2 linked regions of the Oreochromis niloticus genome follow. The protein of the gene in region 1 interacts with the protein of each later gene in a pairwise test. Links are inferred from orthologs where the notes say so. Each region holds a gene or a part of one and is shown on either strand. Other genes may lie near its edges. The genes, in order: morn3 and rsph1.

Evidence for each region.
Region 2: the proteins of morn3 (region 1) and rsph1 interact in binary tests that used the Homo sapiens proteins (3 or more experiments, as listed by UniProt). The two-hybrid records come from large-scale screens. The link is inferred for Oreochromis niloticus from reciprocal best matches to the Homo sapiens genes MORN3 and RSPH1.

The regions. Positions count from the first base shown.
Region 1 is NC_031972.2:22,383,751-22,393,473, forward strand, and holds morn3 (MORN repeat-containing protein 3), read left to right. Parts: upstream 1-5,457; 5' UTR 5,458-5,539; intron 5,540-5,681; exon of another isoform or gene 5,682-5,946; intron 5,947-6,598; 5' UTR 6,599-6,621; coding exon 6,622-6,766; intron 6,767-6,863; coding exon 6,864-7,021; intron 7,022-7,106; coding exon 7,107-7,266; intron 7,267-7,354; coding exon 7,355-7,539; intron 7,540-7,702; coding exon 7,703-7,768; 3' UTR 7,769-8,258; downstream 8,259-9,723. Other genes in the region: tmem120b (transmembrane protein 120B), read right to left, coding at 1,911-1,972, 2,052-2,117, 2,235-2,324, 2,415-2,510, 2,613-2,672, 2,757-2,873, 3,032-3,150, 5,395-5,457. UniProt on the Homo sapiens protein: Assembles a suppression complex (suppresome) by tethering SIRT1 and MDM2 to regulate composite modifications of p53/TP53.
Region 2 is NC_031973.2:26,130,817-26,141,176, forward strand, and holds the start of rsph1 (radial spoke head 1 homolog), read left to right. Parts: upstream 1-6,441; 5' UTR 6,442-6,567; coding exon 6,568-6,618; intron 6,619-6,710; coding exon 6,711-6,824; intron 6,825-7,123; coding exon 7,124-7,229; intron 7,230-7,382; coding exon 7,383-7,473; intron 7,474-7,795; coding exon 7,796-7,931; intron 7,932-8,949; coding exon 8,950-9,021; intron 9,022-10,360. Other genes in the region: myosin heavy chain, fast skeletal muscle, read right to left, coding at 13-40, 134-290, 1,618-1,761, 1,935-2,138.

The sequences.
Region 1 (9,723 bases):
ATTGGTAGTCATTTATTTGGCACTGTGACAGCTTGGTGCCTCAAATGCGATGAAGTGTGGCAATGTTTGACAACACAACAGAAAACCATGTGAAATTAGAGCTGGGCGATAAAACGATAACGATATGTATTGCGAAATAACTTTTTCTCGATAGAAAAATTAAACTATTGCGATAGGCCTCATCTCTCTTGTCCTCTTAAAAAAAAGAAAAAAAGAACACCCAATCCAAATGAAGTAGCAGAGCCGAACCAATCACAGCCACAGCGTCACGTCACGCGACTTGTTATGTACAGCACAAGTGCCAAGGCGCACATGTGTATTTGTTTTTGCAGCCGGGCCGCCCGGGTAATGAAGGAAATGAGTTTGCCGACTAGAGAAAAGTCAACCGAGAGCGTGAGCGAAGGTTACCGAAAAGAAAACCGATGATGGTTCCAATGCCGGAGAGACTGTCGAACGGAAGGGCCACAGAAGTTCCGTAGTGTGAAGGTATTTCGGCTATTTCAAGTCTGACAAAAAACAGAGTAGCGCGCACTGTAAATTGTGCTGAAAGCAAGTCTGGAAATACAATAAAGCGGTGCATGCTCAATCTCTGACTGAAAACGCTAATTCGTCATTCGGCTTTTGTCAGACTAAAGTAACTGTTAAAACTGTTTGAAAAGCTAAGCTATACAACAAGGAGAGATTGAGAATTTCCTTTTAGTTCTCAGTTTATTTGATATTGACAAAAGTTAGTCAATTTTGTCTGTTCTTCTGTAAAACAAACTAAGATTTATTTTTAGAATTAATATTTTGTTTCTAAGTGGAATTGACAATTTAGTAGTTTGTTTTGTTTGTTCTATTTTGAAACTTAAATGCTTTAGCGGCTGCGTTTTGTGTAGTTTGCAATATTTGCCTTTATTTATCTAAAACTGAAGTCTTATGTTCCTTAAGTACATCTGCCCTGTTGAACTTATTATGGGAAATAAATATTTAAATCAAAACAAGCTGCAGATTATTTCACATTTTACTTTTGAGCAACGGCACATTTAAATCTTACAAATATAGTTATTTGGCTTATATCGTGATATATATCGTTATCGCCTGAAATGAAAAAACATATCGTGATATGAAAAAAATCTTATATCGCCCAGCTCTATGTGAAATGGATTATTTGTTATTAGGTTCCTTATAACAAACAGCAAAGGCTTTCATGCTTAAAACCCCTTTTTTAAACTGAGGTTTAAGTCAACCCTAAGTACTTTTAGTACTGTATTTCATCTATACTTTTCAGTGGTGTGCCTGGATTGCTCTGTCGTCATAATGTAACTGAGCTGTTTAGGTTGGACTTTGAGCTATTAAATCTTGAACTGTTGCTTTAATGAAGCGTTGGCAGGAGAGTCGGAAAAACAGAAGAATACCTGCTGAAGTTCTGAGCAGCAGAATCAGGAAAGATGAGAGGTTTAAGAGCCTTTGACTATGGCATGGTTGTTTCTGCCAGACGAGCTTGTCTGAGTATTTCATAAACTACTCAGCTGCTGTGATTTCCCCCACATGACCATCTCTAGGGTTTACAGAAGATGGTCCAAAAACGAGACAGCACCCCATGTGAAAGCTCAAATAACCTCAAACTGGTTTCTTGAACATCACTATGAGTTCACTCTACTCAGATTACCTCCAAAGTCATCAGATCTCAGTCTAATAGAGGACCTTTGTGATTTATTGGAACTGAAGTTTTGCATTATGTATGTGAAGCTGACAAATCTGCAACAACTGTCAATACGGACCAAATGTTTCGAGGACCTTATTGAACCATAGATGCCATGAAGAATTCTGCCCTGAACGCAAAAGGGTTCCCAACCTGGTACTAACATCTGTATCTAATAAAGTGGCCAGTGAGTGTACGTAAATAAGCCAATTTGGATACATCTTACTTTGATAGATGGAGAAGGCAAGAAACTGGCTCCTGAACATCTGATACATTGGTCCTTCTGGCCTGAGGAAAGAAAAGAACTCATTCACATTTCCCAAAATAAAAACAACATGATGCTGAATCAACAAAGACAATATCTCACCATGTCAGCATAACACCTGACAAGAAGGTGGAGACATAATGGTGAGACACCCACCACCCTTTGATCCTGAAAAGAAAAAAGGAGGAACTTGAAAATTTTCCCAACTAAAAATCTTCCGTAGACAAAGGCTTTAATTTAAAAATAGCCCACTAAAGGATAAATCCTCTGATAGTAGCAACACACCTGGAGCCGTTGTTTATGAGGATGCTTTCCCTTATGGTCAATGTGCAGTAGTACCACACCAACAAAAAGTTGAAGATTTCATCAGTGACCCTAAACAAGGCAGAAAACATCAAATAAGAAGCCAATCCTTAATAAGATAACACCATCAGTCATGCTTCGAGGGGAGGGAGGTTCTCTCACCGACAGTTTAGAAAGAAGAGGCAGGTTATTGCTCCGAACATCAGGATTATTGTCATGCAAAGCTTGAACTTCTCATACTCGTCTTTGTAGGCAAATCTGTGCGCATAAACGGAACAAAGAGATGATAAGAGACTGACATAAAAACCAATCTGAACCCACAGCCTGAACCTGCTTTTGAGGCTAAAAGGTGATACATACTTTGCCTGGTTGCTGAGAAGTGTTACATTCACGTTGCCCAGGACCAAATTCAAGTATAGTCTTAAAACGGAAAAAAAATGCAAGTTAACGAAATAAAGCTTAGTGATTACAGCAGATCTCTCACTGACAACAAATAGTTCTCACCCATTTTTCTTTGGCAAATATGCTTCCATGTCAAAGAAAACATTTTCTTTATCTTTTATTTGCGTTTTGATGTCAGTTATTAGTTTCAGCTCTTTCTCATCACACGTCTGTGCACACCTGTAACGAAAGCAGAAGGGCAAAATGAGAAAAGACGAAGGATATTTTTCATCCTCCATGATATCACTGAAATCGAAACCAGATAATTTAAGTGCTTATTTTAGTTGTGGGAATCCATCGACTACTTGCTTGACTACTTTAATAGCAGGTGTACTTACTTGGTTAAACTGTGCCTCAAGTCTTTCAGACATTTCCTCTGTTTACTGATGGCGTTGCTGCAAGTTGCTTGAAGACTGGTGAGCTCTTCCAGTTTTTGTCGGTATATTTTGTGAGTTTCCTGTGAATAAATTAAATACATGTCTGGTTAGAAACATCTGCTGACACGCAGAAATGAGGATTAAGCACAACCAGCTAGGACTTAAAGATGAATACAGCCACAAATTAATCACTCAGGTTTACTTGCATTCGTAGCTACACTGTCATCACTTTGTCCCCATCAAAAAGGATGAAGCATCTGATATATATATATACACACACACACGTTTAAATTACAGCTACTGTGTCTGTCTTTTACCTGAAAGCTTCAAAAACAATTCTAAATTAGGAGTAAATTACATCATTGGGAAACACGAACTACAGTTCAAACAATTAGTAGACTCCCAAAATGTAAAGAAAAATGTCCTGGACTAAACACTGAAAACTGATGACACATCCATATATATTCATGCTTCTAAGTTCTTTTATCATTAATTACGTACCCATTTTTATTCATCCTATGTATTTACTCATTCTGTTCATTTATTGTCATTTTAATCCTGAGAAAGTACAATGAAAGTTTGCCTATGTATAATGACAATAAAAGTTCATTCATCCATTCATGCTGAGAGAGACTCACTATCCTCTGAATCTTTGACCCTTTAATACGCTGTTCTTCAGTGAAACAGTCCCCGTAAGCAGATCCTATTGTTATATATGTAAACCACATGCGAGTTTGCTAATCAGGGGTCAGATTCCTATCCCCCTTAGAGCCAGTTGAACTCCCTTTGTTGTACCTCCATACCTCACAGGTTCAGATCTAATCACCCAAAGGTTATCTTCCTCAAGGCTGAGCTTATACCTTTTGTCTTTGTTCATCACCTACACGTGAACCAGTGGTTCTGAATCGGCACACCTTTCCTGTCCCACTCTTTTACTCATTAAGCACACCATCATAGGAAACCACAAAAAGCAGGACTGATCTCTTCAAGAGAACATAGTAATTGGTTTAATACTTGTCCTCATGGTGAAATATTTCAAAGTTAGCTACATCACAAAAAGTAGGGAGATCTTCCCAGTATTTAACAGGAAAAAGAAAGCAATCTACATGCAGCCGTCATTCATTGTGTTTCTGCAATCTTTGTTTTATCACATGACCATTTTCTGACATCAGTTATGATGAGGTGCACATGACCTGTTAAAAGGATGGGTTATACCAGTCAGCCAGTACTGAGCACATGATCTAAGTATGCGTTCATTCAAACTGACATGAAAACAATGTAACATCTGTTTTAAATCCCTCTATGGGTCTGGCACCAGTCTCTCTCTCAGAGATCATATAATCATCATATACAGATAAACAGATAACTCAGATGCTATGCAGCTGGCCTTCTGTTCCCAAGATCAATACACACAGGAGGAATCAGCTTTTAGCCATCGTGGCCCCAGTGTGTGGAGGTGAATAACTCCATCTCAGTGGACACTTAAAAAAACAAAACAAAAAACAAACCTTGACTTATGTTTTGTAATTGAAGTGGGCTCAATATTTCGGTACGTCTTAACCATTTACAACATTTTTCTTTTAGAGTTTCAAAATTTGTCACATTTGTTTAAAGTTGTGTTTTAAAATTCTCTAAAGAACTGCAGCTGTTTGAAAGAGGTAAATAAAGCTGAAATATAACAGCTATAATATAAACGGGAAGCGGTTTCTGCTCAGCTTCAGATCCACGTGTGCATAAACTGTGAGGTGTCACAGAAACAGAGATTTTAGGTGAATAATACAGTTTCTTATCTTCATTTTGTTCCAAGTTAGCCAACTATGGCTAACGTGAGCTAGCGTGTCAACTTCACGATGGCTGCTGATGCCCTTAAGGACTCCTAAATAAATCACCCAAGCCAAAAGACCCAGAAGCTACTTTGTGAAGCCACTTTAACCTCTGCCTCAACTTCGGTAGCAGTGATTTAACATTAATAAATAGGACAACAATGCATTGTGCGGTTAGCTAACTTACTGTAGCAGCTTATTCGCAGCAAAGCACCCTAGCCCCAAGAAGACTGTTGCTAATGTTAGCGGTTGCAACACAGCGATGTTACAGTAAAGTAAGATAAAATATAAACGCACGGCAAATATATTGCATCCCTCGGATACTGCTGCCAACAGCGCACTTATTGGCTAGATGCTGGGTTTACGGATGACCTGAGAATGAATGACGAATAGGAAAGAGACAGACAAACTGCTACAGCCCCTGCATGTCTCGACGCCACACTACTCCTCCTCCTAACCTAGCACAAATGATACTATACTCGTTAAAGAGTTTTCAGTCACCTGTAATTGTTGATATTCCTCATCAATTTCCTCCCACTCCGCCTGAAACCTCGGCTTGGACATTGCAGTGTTGTAGCTTATTCAGCGAAGAAGACTCTTCCACAAGGCTTTTCACCCACGGGCTGCTCCTGCTCCGGCCACTCAGGCGAGTTTTAACTGTCCTGTGTAGAGCATGCGCACTTCGTAAACCGCCGTCACAACCAAACGTCGTGGTTTACAACGGATGAAGCCATCAAGTAGTAAATAAAAGAAACTAACGGCAGATTAAAAAAAAAAAAGACTTGTGGATCAAAAATGACATCCAGACACGTTCAACTCAAATTTTTAAATGGCCTCTCAATTACATTTATAAGGCACCAATAACTGTACACATTGCTGTTGCTAGGATACAGCATACAAACTTGCTCTCCTGCTGCTGCTGGTCAGCATTGAAGTTGTGTACGGCTAGTAACATGTTTTCTTAATTTCCTCGTTAAATTGATGGCTTTTGTTTGGCTAAGTTTGCAAGCGGATTCAGTTTCAGTAAGTGATCCGCTTGGAAACACCGCAAAGGTACAATTACTTTGCTTTTTTGCTTTTCTACTTTTCTATTTTACCTGTAATGCTAACTAAGCTGGAGAGCTTAACTAGTTTCCTTAGATGACCGTGTGGCTACTTTTCTAAATAATAAATTACAGTGTTGTGAGTGACAGTTTAAAATACTGTCAACTCTTCAAAGAAGGGCAGTGTTTTTTCTGTTGTATGAATTTGGTGACATGTACTGCTTAATGGGTATGGCAGCTTGTTTGTGCCACTAACAAAACATTTTTTAGCCATCTATCAAGTCAAAAAAAATAAAATATCAATTTACTAACTTAAACATGAGAAAATAATTTTAAATTTTGAGTCACTAAGTCGGGATTTTGAGATAATAACTTTAAATTTTGACTTATGGATGGCAAAAAACTACAAATAAAAAAAATATTTGTTTCCATTTTCAGTGGCAGAAGGACAGCAAACATGTTTTGTTTTTCCACCCATTCATCCATCCATTCGCTTCCGCTTATCCTTTTCAGGGTCGCGGGGGGTGCTGGAGCCTATCCCAGCTGTCATAGGGCGGGAGGCGGGGTACACCCTGGACAGGTCGCCAGTCTGTCACAGGACCAGTGACAGACTGACCATGTTTTTTTTGTTGTTTTTTTTTATTTCATTCTAATGCTTACAGGTTTCATCAAGCTACCACCAGCAATGCCATTTCTCAAAAGACCTCCAACTACTCCCTCATTGTCAACACTGCTGGACATTAAGTCACAGAAATGTGGACTGCGGCACACAGTTTTCTCACCCAGTGGAAACGAATACACCGGGGAGTGGCAGAACAATAAGAAGCATGGTGAGATATAGTTTTTCGTCAGCTTCCACTCAACTCCTGAGAGGTTTGAAGTAGTGCAGCTGTCATGTTTGCTTGTTTGTTTATTTATTTCTATAAGGCAAGGGAACTCAGGTTTGGAAGAAGTCTGGTGCCATTTATGATGGAGAGTGGAAATTTGGAAAACGTGACGGGTATGGTACCTACAGCGTGTTACTCCCAGGATCAAAGAAGTATGTGAAGAAGTACTGTGGTGAATGGACAGATGGAAAGAAGGATGTATGTATGTGACATAATGTTTCACATGCACGCTGAAAGACATATCGGTATGTATGGTCAGTCATGTATTTGTCCACCTTCTCAGGGGTATGGCACATACTTTTACAATAACTCATCAGTGTACGAGGGGGAGTGGAGCGAGGACCAACGGAGTGGCTGGGGAAGGATGTACTATGCAAATGGAGACATCTATGAGGGCAAGTGGCTGAAGGATAAGAATCATGGAGAAGGAATCATTATATTTTGTAAGAGAAAATTTTCTATACATGCATGTACATCGAAACTAGATTATAATTTGGATGTTATAATATGACTTTCTAATTTCTGTTTAAGCAAATGGAAACAGATATGAAGGTAGCTGGCGAGAGGGCAAGAAGGATGGTCGTGGAAAGTTCTACTACTGTGACAAAGGCCAGCTGTATGAAGGCCTTTGGGTGGATGGAGTGCCAAAATGTGGGACCCTGTCTGATTTTGGGAGAGATGGAGCACCAATGCCTGCAAAATGTCAGATTCCAAAGGTACAGTGTTGCAACTGACTGTTACAGCCATGCATCAAAATTAAATTACACGACTAATTACATTACACTGCTTACATGACATAATCATATAAGCACTGACAACAAAGCCCTGCTCCATTTGTACTACTGTGCATGAAAGCGTGGACTTATCTTCTATTTTCAGGTACACCTGATCGATCCACAGCTGGTTTTAAGGGAAGCCGAATCAGCTTACCTTGGCCAGTTCTGATAAACAACAAGAGGATCAAGAGCAAGTTTCCACTTCACCACATGCTTGCTGATAAAGAATTTTAAAAAAGCATAATGAGTTTTCAGTGTGTGTCCCTTTTGTCACACAGATTATTTGTCCTTGTCAGAGGGGCAAAATCCTTTAATCATCCATTAATGTGACAAATTTATCTGTTGCCAATTAAACGTGTATAATAATTGATCATAAAGGGAAAAAAATGCCTCATCAGATTTTACATATATACCTCTTAAGATTGAAAACACTATGTTGGATGACTTAATACAAATTAAAAGAGATTGTCATATGATAAATTCAGTGTTACACATCCATCTGTTTGTCATATGGTGTCTGATCACACTTTAGCCTTGAGTGTGTAAACCCTTGAGAACTTGTAACTGACACACAAGCCACATTATTCAGTAGAAAGCAGTCATGCTTTGTTCTGTTTATAGTTTGTATAGTTGTCCTAAGAATAAAACACTATTCCTAACAACCAGTCTGTAAGAGGATGATCTTATGCTATGTTTACCACATCTAAACCTTGAATAATAGTACTGCCTCTCAAAGAAATACAAAAAGATAAAATTTCACATTATTCTATATTCTTTTTTCTTAATTTTGGTGATTATGGAATATAGATGAAAATCAAGAATCCCGTATCTAAAATTATTAGAATATTTAATTTTGAGTTTGAGTAAATTAATATTTAAACAGTATAAATACAGTGTATCTCACAGTTTAGTTCAATACCACCAACCACAATCATGTGGACGACTGCTGACTTGACAGTTGACTAGATGATGATGATCATCACTGCGCATGAACAGTGAGCCACAGGAAGTCATTGTTGAAAAGGCTGGCTGTTCTCGAGAGTGCTGCATCACAGGATTTAAAAAGTTGACTGCAAGTGTGGCAAGAAAAGGTGCAAAAGAGATAATCACGTGATTGAGAGGATTGTCAAAAACAGCTGACTCAGGAAGTGCTATCCAGGCACTCCTGAAGCAGAGGCATCGCAAACGTCATACCTGGGCTAAAGATGAAGAACGAAATTTGCTTAGCGGTCCAAAGTTCTCTTTTAAGACAAAACAAATGTTGCATTTTGTTTGAAAATCACAGTCTTAAAGGTTTGGAGGAAGAACTGTGAAGTGCAGGATCCATAGAGTCTGAAATCCAGTGTGAAGTTTGTGCAGTCTGTGGTGATTTGGGGTGCCGTGTTATCTGGTCTGTCCCCTGTGTTTTACATCAACTCCAAAATCAACACAGATGTCTGCCAGGGTTTTCCAGTGCTCTGCATGCTTCCATCTGCTGACAAGCTTTAAGGAGATGCCAATTTTCTTTTCCAGCAGGACTCAGACCCTTCCCACAGAGCTAAAGGTACTACTACAAGGTTTGCTGACTCTGCCGTTACTGTGTATGAGTGGTCAGCCAACTCAGGAGACTGGATTTAAGGTTTTCATAAGCTACAAGCCATACTCATCAAAATGAAAACAAAAAATACTTAAAATGTCACCATAAGTGTAATATGTTTTCCCCTTTAGAAATAAAACACCCCCAACTTTTTCATTATACTTTGATTTTATTTCCCTAGCAACTGCATTATGGCCATCTATCAATGTCCCAGCTGCTTAAGTAAACACATCTCTGACCACATCTGGAGTACAGGCTCACACAGATTCTTAATTCAAAATAATCACTTTTTATGTTAAAAACACAATTGAACAGCTATCGGTACATACTTCAAAACTGAATCACAAGAGCAAAATGCCAGTTCAGAATATGTGAGACAAGTGGAGTGCTCAGACTCTTCAAAATAAAGCACTAATAACTAATATTAACATTAAGTGTGCAGCAGAGATCCAAATGAGATTATAAAACTGTGTTAGTGTGCATAAAAATGTCAGCAGTGTGTGACAACACAAATGTCTGGCTTGCTCTGACATTAGAGGCTCTTTATC
Region 2 (10,360 bases), on another chromosome or scaffold:
AGTGCAGCTTACGTGATGAGGATGGACTGGTTTTCTCTATCTAAAAAAAACAAAAACAAAAAAAAAGCAAACAGTCATGTTAGAGAGGTGCACTGGATGACATGAAAATGGTAAATATAACTTTTAAGCTTACCAGTAAGCATTGACTGATATGCATTGTCGGAAATGGAGAAGATGTGTGGCGGAGCCTCCTGGCGCTTTTTACCCCTGTAGGCTACCACCACCTCCTGGTTGTACACTGGGAGCCACTTGTAAGGGTTCACAGTGACACAGAACAACCCAGAGTAGGTCTACAACCAAAAGCAACATTTGTAGTCAATGGGGCTTATTAGCTTTATCTGACATAATAATTATTGCTTTTTAATTAGTCTGCCTGGTGAAATTAGTCTCAAAGCAAACCATATATGTATGTTGTTGACCAGGCAGCTTAGGACACAGGTGACACTGATTCTCATGACAGAGGATGTGATGGATTATAAGGACAGGCGTGTAAGTGGTAACTATGAAGTCTTAATTCTAAAGTCAGAAGTATATACAACATTTAATTTAATTGGATTTTCTCTTTTTGTGTTGTTCTGTTTATGGTTCAAATGTATTGTTTTCTTTCTTCTGGTAAATAATACTGGATAGTTTTTAGGTTGGCCTTTTAGAATAAAAGATACTTTGATTCACACTGTCATCATTCATTAGATGACTTAAGTAATGTCATTTTTATATTTATACATACATTTTACCTGGATTTTGGACTGGCTGCCATTTTTTAAAATTCCATCACTTAAAACTATGAGTATTGGACAAAATTAGGCTAGGTGTTTGCTAGGTGTTTATAGTTTTGTTTATTGTTCTTTATTTATTCTTTATTTAGCTTTTTGGGAACTTGTAGTTCTTGTTGCATGTTACTCTTAATTAGAGTTTAATTTGTTCCCTCATTGTTGACTATCTTATCCTCCTGTGCCAATTCAATTTTAAAGTTTATTTATATATTCCAAATTTATTTATAAATAAATTGTTTATATTTATGTTTCCATTTATTTATTTTTTAAATTTATGCTTAACATTTGATTTTACTTCCCCTCGTGACACATTGTCTTTGATTATCTTCACTTGCTTCTTGTTACTTTGCTGTGTCCTATGTATAGATAAGGTTGTCCTTCCCTCATTCTTTGTCCAAGTTTCTGAAGCCTGTTGTCTGTTTCTGAAGTTTTGTGAATTTTGGTTTCCTCAACTTGTAATGGATGGTGCAATTCTGGACTCTGAGATCAGCCCGAATGAAGTTTGCTTTTTGCTTAAGTCTGTCTGCCAGTGAACTTGCATTTGGCCTGCAAATAATGAAAATTTATGTTTAGTTTCATTTATAACACTTCTTGAAAAATAGAATAGGCTCACTTGTCCAGGAAGATACTCAAGGATAGATCTAGGTATACACTTCCCTAGACTTTTTCTATAACCTCAAAGAGGAAAAAAAAGACAAAAAGAAAAGAAAAAGTAGCTACTGTCAGACCAAATAAACCCTCAGCTGACTGCACCTCTGCTGTTGGTCTGCATGCTTCAGTTGAGCAGCAGCTTGTCAGGCATTGTCTGGGAATGACCACAATATCTAAATAGTGCAGTACTCACATAGATCATCCAAGCTGCGTAACGCTCTTTGAGGTTATACAGCACAGCCGCCTCATTAAGGTGTGTCATCATGGCCATGTCCTCAATCTTATCAAACTTGGGTGGGTTCATAGGGAAGATTTCATCTTCCTTCACTGTTACAACCTGTGATGGTAAGAAAAGACACTGTCATTAAGAATATATGAAGTTAGTGCCTGCTCTCTATATTACTTCTGTAATGTAAAGTACATTAAAAAGCTCATCAGTGGACAAACTAAATAAAATGTGCCAACGTGGCCTATAAATCTCCAGTATAGAGATACATAGAGCAGATGTACCTGTCCTGACAGAGTTTTAACAGTCGCTTTGCCACCCTCTTTGCTTTGCAATGTGCCTTTAACAAAGAGCTCCTTTGGATCTGCCACAAACACTGCAGTTTTGGCATCAAAGGGCTTGTTCTGAGCTTCAATCCTCTCTCGTTCAGGTCTCCTCAGATATGGAGCGGCCTCCCCAAAAACAGCCATGTCAGCGTCTGAACTCATCTCTGCAGTGTACACCCCAGGGGACTAAAAGATCCAGGGTTAATGTTAGAATGATGATCTATTAATGAATTTGATCATCATCCTGATCAAATCTTACCCCAGAAAATCTGCGTATGGCTCCTCCTAGACACACCTGAATCAGAGCTCCTGCTGGTTAAGTCAGTAGCCGTCACAGCCAGAAGACAATGAAACAGAAAAACGTCCAAAGAGTTGGCAGTTACTGCTTTTATAACATGCATTAGCATAGACAGCAAACAACTATATTTAGGTCAAATCCCCCATTGAACATGGGTGGAGAAAAGTGATTAGCTTGGCATGTGATGTCATGCAGTTGGTGCTGAGCTTTTGTTATAAATCCGCGCTGTGGAGCAACTGCAGCTCAAGAAAAGAATGAATGCCAAAGGAGGGTGACCTCTGCCAGAGATACAGCTCACACAGATGATAAACTTTCCAAGTGTTTGTTATCTTGGGCATTGATCTCCAAGATTATAACTGGATTTGACATTAAGGATGTGTCTAGACTTAAAAGCAGCTCTTGAACAATTTAAGCTCAAAGAATGCATTTGGAAGCCAGTAATAGTTGATGGTACACAAAGTTATTAAACGCAAAGCAGTCACTGCTCAAGTCAAATCTCATTACTGAAAATTATGAGAATTTTGATTTTATTTTACAACTGGAATGTGTGTGTGTGTGCAATACACTACAAAATACAGACTAAACCCCAACAATCAAATGAGCCCTTTTAAGCAAGCACTTGGTGACAGTAGGAAAGAAAAACTCCCTTTTAACAGGAAGAAACCTCCAGCAGAACCAGGCTCAAGCAGCAATCTGCAAGTACAAGCATCACCTGATACTTACTACTACTCTTAATTCTTCCTAATTCATATGGAAGCAGTGAGGGTTACTTTTTTATTAAACAAATAATGATTGATGATGTATTTGTATAAGGATCTAATATTAAGACATGTTAAGAACCAAATGATTTTTATTATGTCCTTATGAGTAAAACTTTAGAAAAGAGGGTGTAGATTTTTGTTTAGTTTACTTTTTGTTTTTTTATCCAATTCAAGACATTAAGAGTAAAATATTGTAAGCTAACTTTTTACTTATGTGAAATTTAGAAATGGATTTGGCACTGCTCATTAGAACGCATAGCTGACTGAAAAATTTTCTACGGTTTCTATTGTGTGTGTGTTTGTGTGTGTATTAATTTTCCAGTTTCAGATGAACATGAGTGTGGTATCACAATTTTTTTCACAAATAAAGTCATGAAACAATAATATTAAAAAAAGTGTAAAACTGTGTTTTATTTTATGTCTTGATTTTGTTACATTTTTACATATTTCAAAAATTCATATGGTGAATACACTTCGTATGTCATGGCAAGGATTTCTGTCTTCAGAACAATGTAACAAAATGTATTTTTCACTACCCTGTCTCCAAAGCTTATTGTTTTGAAATGTACCATTAATGGTGCGCGGTGACACTTCTGATAGTCATGACAGGCTTATAAATAAAGTCATAGCTGATAAAGCCCTAAATAGAAATTCCTGCAGGATCCTTCTGGGATGGCTTTAGAGATTACAGTGGACTAACGGTCACATTAGAGATTCTGAGGCTTCTTTTTTTCCTGTCCCAAAGAATCATGTCTGAGAGACACTTGAAGACAGATGCAACAGAAACAAAGAAAACCCCAATGTCACTTTAGTGCAGAAAGAGGTTGCCTTAGCTTTAAATTTATTTATTTTTTAACCTTGATAGTACATTAAAAAATGCAAAAAAGTTTTGAAAGACATTTTATTGACTATTAAGAAACCTCATGAAAAATATGTCCATTCTGGCTGAGATCAGAGGGTATACAGTGGAGGATTTAATTCTTCGATCTCGTGCTAAATTTGTGCTTTTGCTCACTTACAAAGAAATGAGTAGTCTCTCATTTTTATGGTAGTTTCATTTTAATGGAGAGAGACAGGATAGCAAGCACAACTGAGAAGAAACACATAGAAGAACTACAAGTTCTTTGGCATAAACTTGACCTGCTGTGTTTGGGGGAAGAGAAATGCTGAGTATGACCTAAAGAACACCATCCCCACGGTCAAGCATGGAGGTGGAAACTTCCTTTGAGTCTATTTTCTGATAAAGATACAGGATTAATATACAGGGACATTTACCACAAAAGTGGATGAGAACTGCCTTCCCTCAGCCAGAACACTGCAGAGGGGTCTTCCAGCATGATGATAACCCAAAACCTATGGTCAAGACTACTAAAAAGAAAAGGTCATGAGTGACCTTACCAGTCTCCAGGCCTCAATCTTATAGAGAATCTATGGAAGGAGCTCCCAAGCGCCAACCAGAAAAACTAAAAGATTAAGAGTTTCTGTAAAGAAAGTGTCCCAAAGCCCCTCCTGAGATGTGCACCAACCTAGTGACAAACTCCCGCTGTGCTTGCCAACAAGGATTTCTCCACAAGTCATGTTTTGCTTGGGCATGCAAATCAATGTATAACTTTTATTTTAACTAGGTTGTGCTGAGCAACTTTAGCTACATCAGATACGTCAACATTTTAACATAACTGGTATAATGTTTCTGTATGCAGGCAGATGGTGCCAGGTGTTTAATCATGCCAAGGAAACGGGTCATAATAGGCTGTTAAACTGTCACTTATTTTAAAAACCAGTAACAGCGTCATGAGAGGGAGATTAGATGGATATAAATTGACAAGTGAGGCGCTAAATCTCGAACAAGCAGCCGGTGAACCCAGGTATTAGCTGCCCCTTTCTTAAATATGGATTGTTTCAGGAATTAATCAGGAGTGAGATATTCTTAGGAACTGTCCTCAAAGGGACAACGATGCCAGAGATTATCACCATGGCCACAAACTGCCTTTCATTTGGCTTTATTATAACTTGCATGTACGTTATTGAATACCTGCTTCAGAAATGTTAAACAGCACCTTATCTTGAGTCACAGAAGGAACAGCTGAACGCAGCAGATTACAACCAGAGTTCATTCTAATCTTTAATGCAACAGATGGCAAAATCTCAGGGCTTATGAGTTAATGTCAAAACAAGTTCAAGTTGTCTAAATAAAGAGCTGCAAAGGAGAGGTCACTCAGTTTATTATGTTGGTGTCATTTGATGGACACACTGAACTAGAATTAATTACCAAGATGTCAAGAAAAATGTTTTTCATAAATTGAATCGTTTATTGAAACGCTGTGGATTTTTTTTTCATTGTGTGTTCATAAAAAAGCCAGTTGGAGCTTTGAAGCAGATTTTAAAAGAGCAAAACTGAACTAAGTCTGACATGTTTTATTAAAATAAGTCAGCATAACTACTGCGCTGTGTGATTTAACTGAAGCAGCGTTATAATGAATGTTATTTTACTTGTCAGTGATAGTTAAACCACAGCACCTGCCAATGTCACAGGTTCTTTTTTTTTCTCTTAAAGACACCAGATTGATGCCCATCATGTGAAGTTAAATGTTTTAGTGAAGTAATCTACTTCAAACCTAAGCAGATTTAGAGGGAAAATAATTTTTTTAAATTTTGGTACATTTGGATTCATTAATTGCATACTTTCATCAGTGATGAATAGATTGATCTTGATGGCTCTAAGTGTTACAGAAGTGTTACTGTAAGTGTTACTGTATTATAGACAGGTTTGTGGTACTTGCAGAAGGGGGTGTAAAAATTGTTTGGGAGCAGACAGCTTGTAGTTTCTTTCAAGTTTTCTCACCTGTAATAATGATGACAACTGTAATGAACAGCCTGAAGCTGAGGCCTTAAGACCACTTTTTACATAATATTACTAATATCAGTTATTACTAGTATTTCATAGTATTATTTTCTTACAATACATTGTTATATTATTATTATTATTTTTTATTATTACTATTTATGTAACAGATGTCGTATTGTTGTACCTCTCTTCTGACCTCCTGTGTCCATGTTGATGACAATGTGGAAAAAACCATGTAATTACATTTGGATTTATCATTCCAGAGGACTTGATGTCACTGGATTTTGGTCCAGTTCTTGTGTAATATGGAATACCTCATACCCTTCCACTGAGATTATTGTTAACGAGCTTTCAGTGCAGTAGCTCTCACATGCTGTGTCAAGCCCTTTTTCCTGTCACTTTACAACAAGACTGTCAGACACTGTTGATGTTCTGTATTTTTTTTTTCAGCTTGGAAAAAAGCCGGGCGCCCTCTTGTGGCTGCGGCCGTCCAGTACACACATAAACATCAACACTGCGCAAGAGTCTTCTCAGGCAAGAGCGCGTCTGGGTCTTTAGCTCGCGTGACCGACGGTTGTCATAGCAACTATAAACTAGTAGGCTAAAAGAGGTGCAGGATTTTCCCAGTTTTGGGCGCTTCTGTTTAAACTAAAACTACAACACAGTTGATCAGAAACTAACAGAAACATGTCTGACGTAGGATCTGATGAGTTCGAGGATGAACAAAATAAACTCGGGGTGAGAGAATATAATTATCGTGTTAAGTGTGTTTGCTGACGACGTTGAACTAAAGCTCTTTGTAAAAACCTCTTTTGTTTTTACCCGAGCAGGAGTATGAAGGAGGCAGAAACGAAGCTGGAGAAAGGCACGGATTCGGGAAAGCTATTCTGCCCAACGGAGACATTTATCAGGGAGACTATCAGAACGGGAGAAGACACGGACAGGTAGGACGTTTGAGCTGGAACCCTGCAGTCCAAAGCTAAGAACATTCTGCATGTATGTGTATATCAGTGCATAAAGACATTATCTTTTAGATATAGAAAAAGCTGCTAAATTAGATAACAGTGTGGACAGTGCGTGAGAACACGCCGAGCAGTTTCAAGCAGTTTTCTCTTACTGCTAATTACAATTTTATTTAAATATTTAGTCCCAAAGCATATTCTTCTTAATATTTAAGGCTTTTCGCTGATGCTACCCGGGTAAGGACTAATATATATTTATATATAACCGCTTTCTCCATAAGGGGACATATCGCTTCAAGAATGGGGCGAGATATGTAGGGAACTACCAGCAGAACATGAAACATGGACAGGGAACCTTCTACTATCCCGATGGGTCCAAATATGAAGGTATAGCAAATCTGCTTTACATGAGTGTCCTGTGTACTTCTACCAGTCAAAATTATTTTTTATGCAGTCCTGAGATAGTTTTTAAAGCCAGCTGAAGCTCTGATGTTGGTTTCAGTAAGCTAAACTCTTACCACTGCCTCTTCTGACTGCCAGGGTCGTGGGTTGAGGATATGAGACAAGGTCATGGTGTTTACACCTACCCCAACAAAGACACCTATGATGGAGAGTGGCTGCAAAATTTGAGGTATGTCACAAGAACTGCAATCTCAATTGCTATAACAACTTGTAATGGCAGAAGGAGTCAGGGTTTATATTAAGGCTGGCTTTATATTACAGCTTTTTATGTTTAAATAATTTACTTTGATTCAACAGTATTAATACTCTAGAGAGCAGGACTTTTTTTCATGTTGAAATGCAGTCCCAGAAATGCTGTAAGCATGCCACGTCTTTAACTTCTCAGATGTTTGAACTTTTTTGAACCAGCACCGACATGCTTTTACTTTGAAGTTAGTTGTAACTAGATACGTTAAAAGCTACTTGAGTCTTTGCTGTTGTGTGATTTCCAGGCACGGACAGGGCATTTATCACTACCACGAAACCGGCTCTAAGTTCAAGGGCACTTGGGTGAACGGCAAGATGGAGTCAGCTGGAGAGTACCTCCATACTAACCACAGATTCATGGGCAACTTTATCAACAACTATGTAAGTTTTATTTTTATAACATTTTCATAAATTGGTCAATGATCAATCAAAATACTGAATATGTTTTAATGTAGCCTGTGCATGGTGTGAAAAGTGGCAATGGCCAAGATGATTATCATGATTATTGTGAACACTGTTAAGTTATGTGTGTGTTATTTGTCATCACTATTCATTGATTTTGGTGACAGAAATTTCTTTTATGACACCGCCCTCCTTATTCCCCTAAATTCAGTGCATCATTCATTCTATTTATTGCACCTGTGTGTATATTTATGTGAGGGGACAACATCATTTGTGCAGTAAGTTAACCATTTTCCTGGAGGCTTCATTAGTCACCGTGCTTAGTGGGGATTTCAGTGAGTCTTTTCCAAGCTGGAACACTTTAATGGACTTTCCTTTTTTATTGTACTCCTATTTAGCAGAATTGGATTAATATAAAACATAAACTACTACATAATGGTGTGCTGTAGCTACAGTGAATTATCTCCAGCTATCTGCATGATTTAACAGTTCTATAGAGTTTGAAGTATGTTTTAATGCAGAACATTTGTACTTTTACTTCAGTGAAAGTCTAATTTTACAGGAAGTATGTATACTGTAGCATTACTACTTTGATATAAGTAGAGGCTTTAGGATAGGTGCATCTTCCATAGAGCCATCAAGATCATGCCATTCATCACGTAATCAAAAGGTCAAAGGGTCATAAGAAGGACTTTTTAAGGAAGAACAAATGGTGTGGATAAGCCCATTTACTAGCCTTACTAGGCAGATTTCCATTTTAAAACAACTCATTTTTCTGTTTTTAACCACAAAGACAGTTACATTACTTGGCTCCATTCTTGCCTTATGTACACCGTGTTTTGTTTTGTGCCTCACTGTTCCAAAATGACATAGATCGGTGTGTTCAGTGTCAATCAACAAAAACAACAATCAGTTCTTATATCATTGGGATCTGTGTCATTGTAAATGAGGAAGACTGTACCTCTCTCCCTTATTATCTTCGGTTTTAATTTTGTAGCCGCTTGGGCCAGGGAAGTACGTGTTTGACATCGGCTGTGAGCAGCATGGAGAATACCAGAAAGCAGAGCAGGTAATTCCACATCCACACAATTCACTTGAACAGAAACACAGTGATGTTAAATATTTACCCCCTTCCTGAGCTAGTATTTTTTTCACACTTTCAGATCATCGAACCAGTATCAGACAAAGCTAGCCCATGTACTAACAAAATTTTTTTTTAATGATTTCATTTATTAAGGGGAAAAAAGTCATGGGATAGATCATTAAGGTCAGCTAATCACAGCTACTGGTTGTTCTGAGACGCAGACTAAAGCACAGAGGAGACCAGGCCGTTGCTGTAGTTGCACGTACACTTTTGAACAGTCTGCCTCTTCAAATCAAGACCTCACCAACACTTCTTTAAATTGTCTTTAAAACCTGCTTGAAGACACATATTTACGCGCTTGCATTTAAATGTGACTTAGTTTTTGATACTTTACTTTCACTTTGTCTTTTGTTTGTCTTGCTCTGAGTTATTATTTTTAGTGATACATAAATTTGGTCAGCCCTTATTGTTTTTAAATCTGCTTATAATCCAGTGGTTCCCAAAGTGTGGGGCCCGCCCCCTAGGGGGGGGGCGCAGAGCCATTGCAGGGGGGCGCGGGATGAAAAGAAAAAGAAAAAAAAGAAAGCTTGGACAATGCTAGCATAATGGACAGATTTTTGACGGGGCTCCCACACAAACGCAAAGTAGGAGATGAAGCATCGCCAAATATGTTTCCAAACCAACTTCCTTCCAAGCCAAAGACTAGAAAATATGGTGAAGCATATCTTCCCTTTGGCTTCACCTGCACAAGTGCCAAGGTAGGTCTCCCCTGCAAAATTAGTTTCCCTGCGTCGGGAGCAGCGCTGGGCTCTCCAAATCACGGACAAACAGGATCCCACATTCTTGATTTTTAGTTCACAAACACTTCTTGTAATAACTAACTACTCCTGACATTAAATGTCAGATTTGTGATTTGGAGAGCACAGCGCGTGCTTTGGACATGTTAGTAACATGTCCAAAATGTCAGGAGTAGTTAGTTATTACAAGAAGTGTTTGTGAACTAAAAATCAAGAATGTGGGATACTGTTTGTCCGTGATTTGGAGAGCCCAGCGCTGCTCCCGACGCAGGGAAACTAATTTTGCAGGGGAGACCTACCTTGGCACTTGTGCAGGTGAAGCCAAAGGGAAGATATGCTTCACCATATTTTCCTGTCTTTGGCTTGGAAGAAAGTTGGTTTGGAAACATATTTGGCGATGCTTCATCTCCTGCTTTGCGTTTGTGTGGGAGCCCCGTCAAAAACCTGTCCACAGTGTCCAAGCGCTCTTTTTTTTCTTTTCTTTTCATACCGCGCCCCCCCTGCAATGGCTCTGCGCCCCCCTAGGG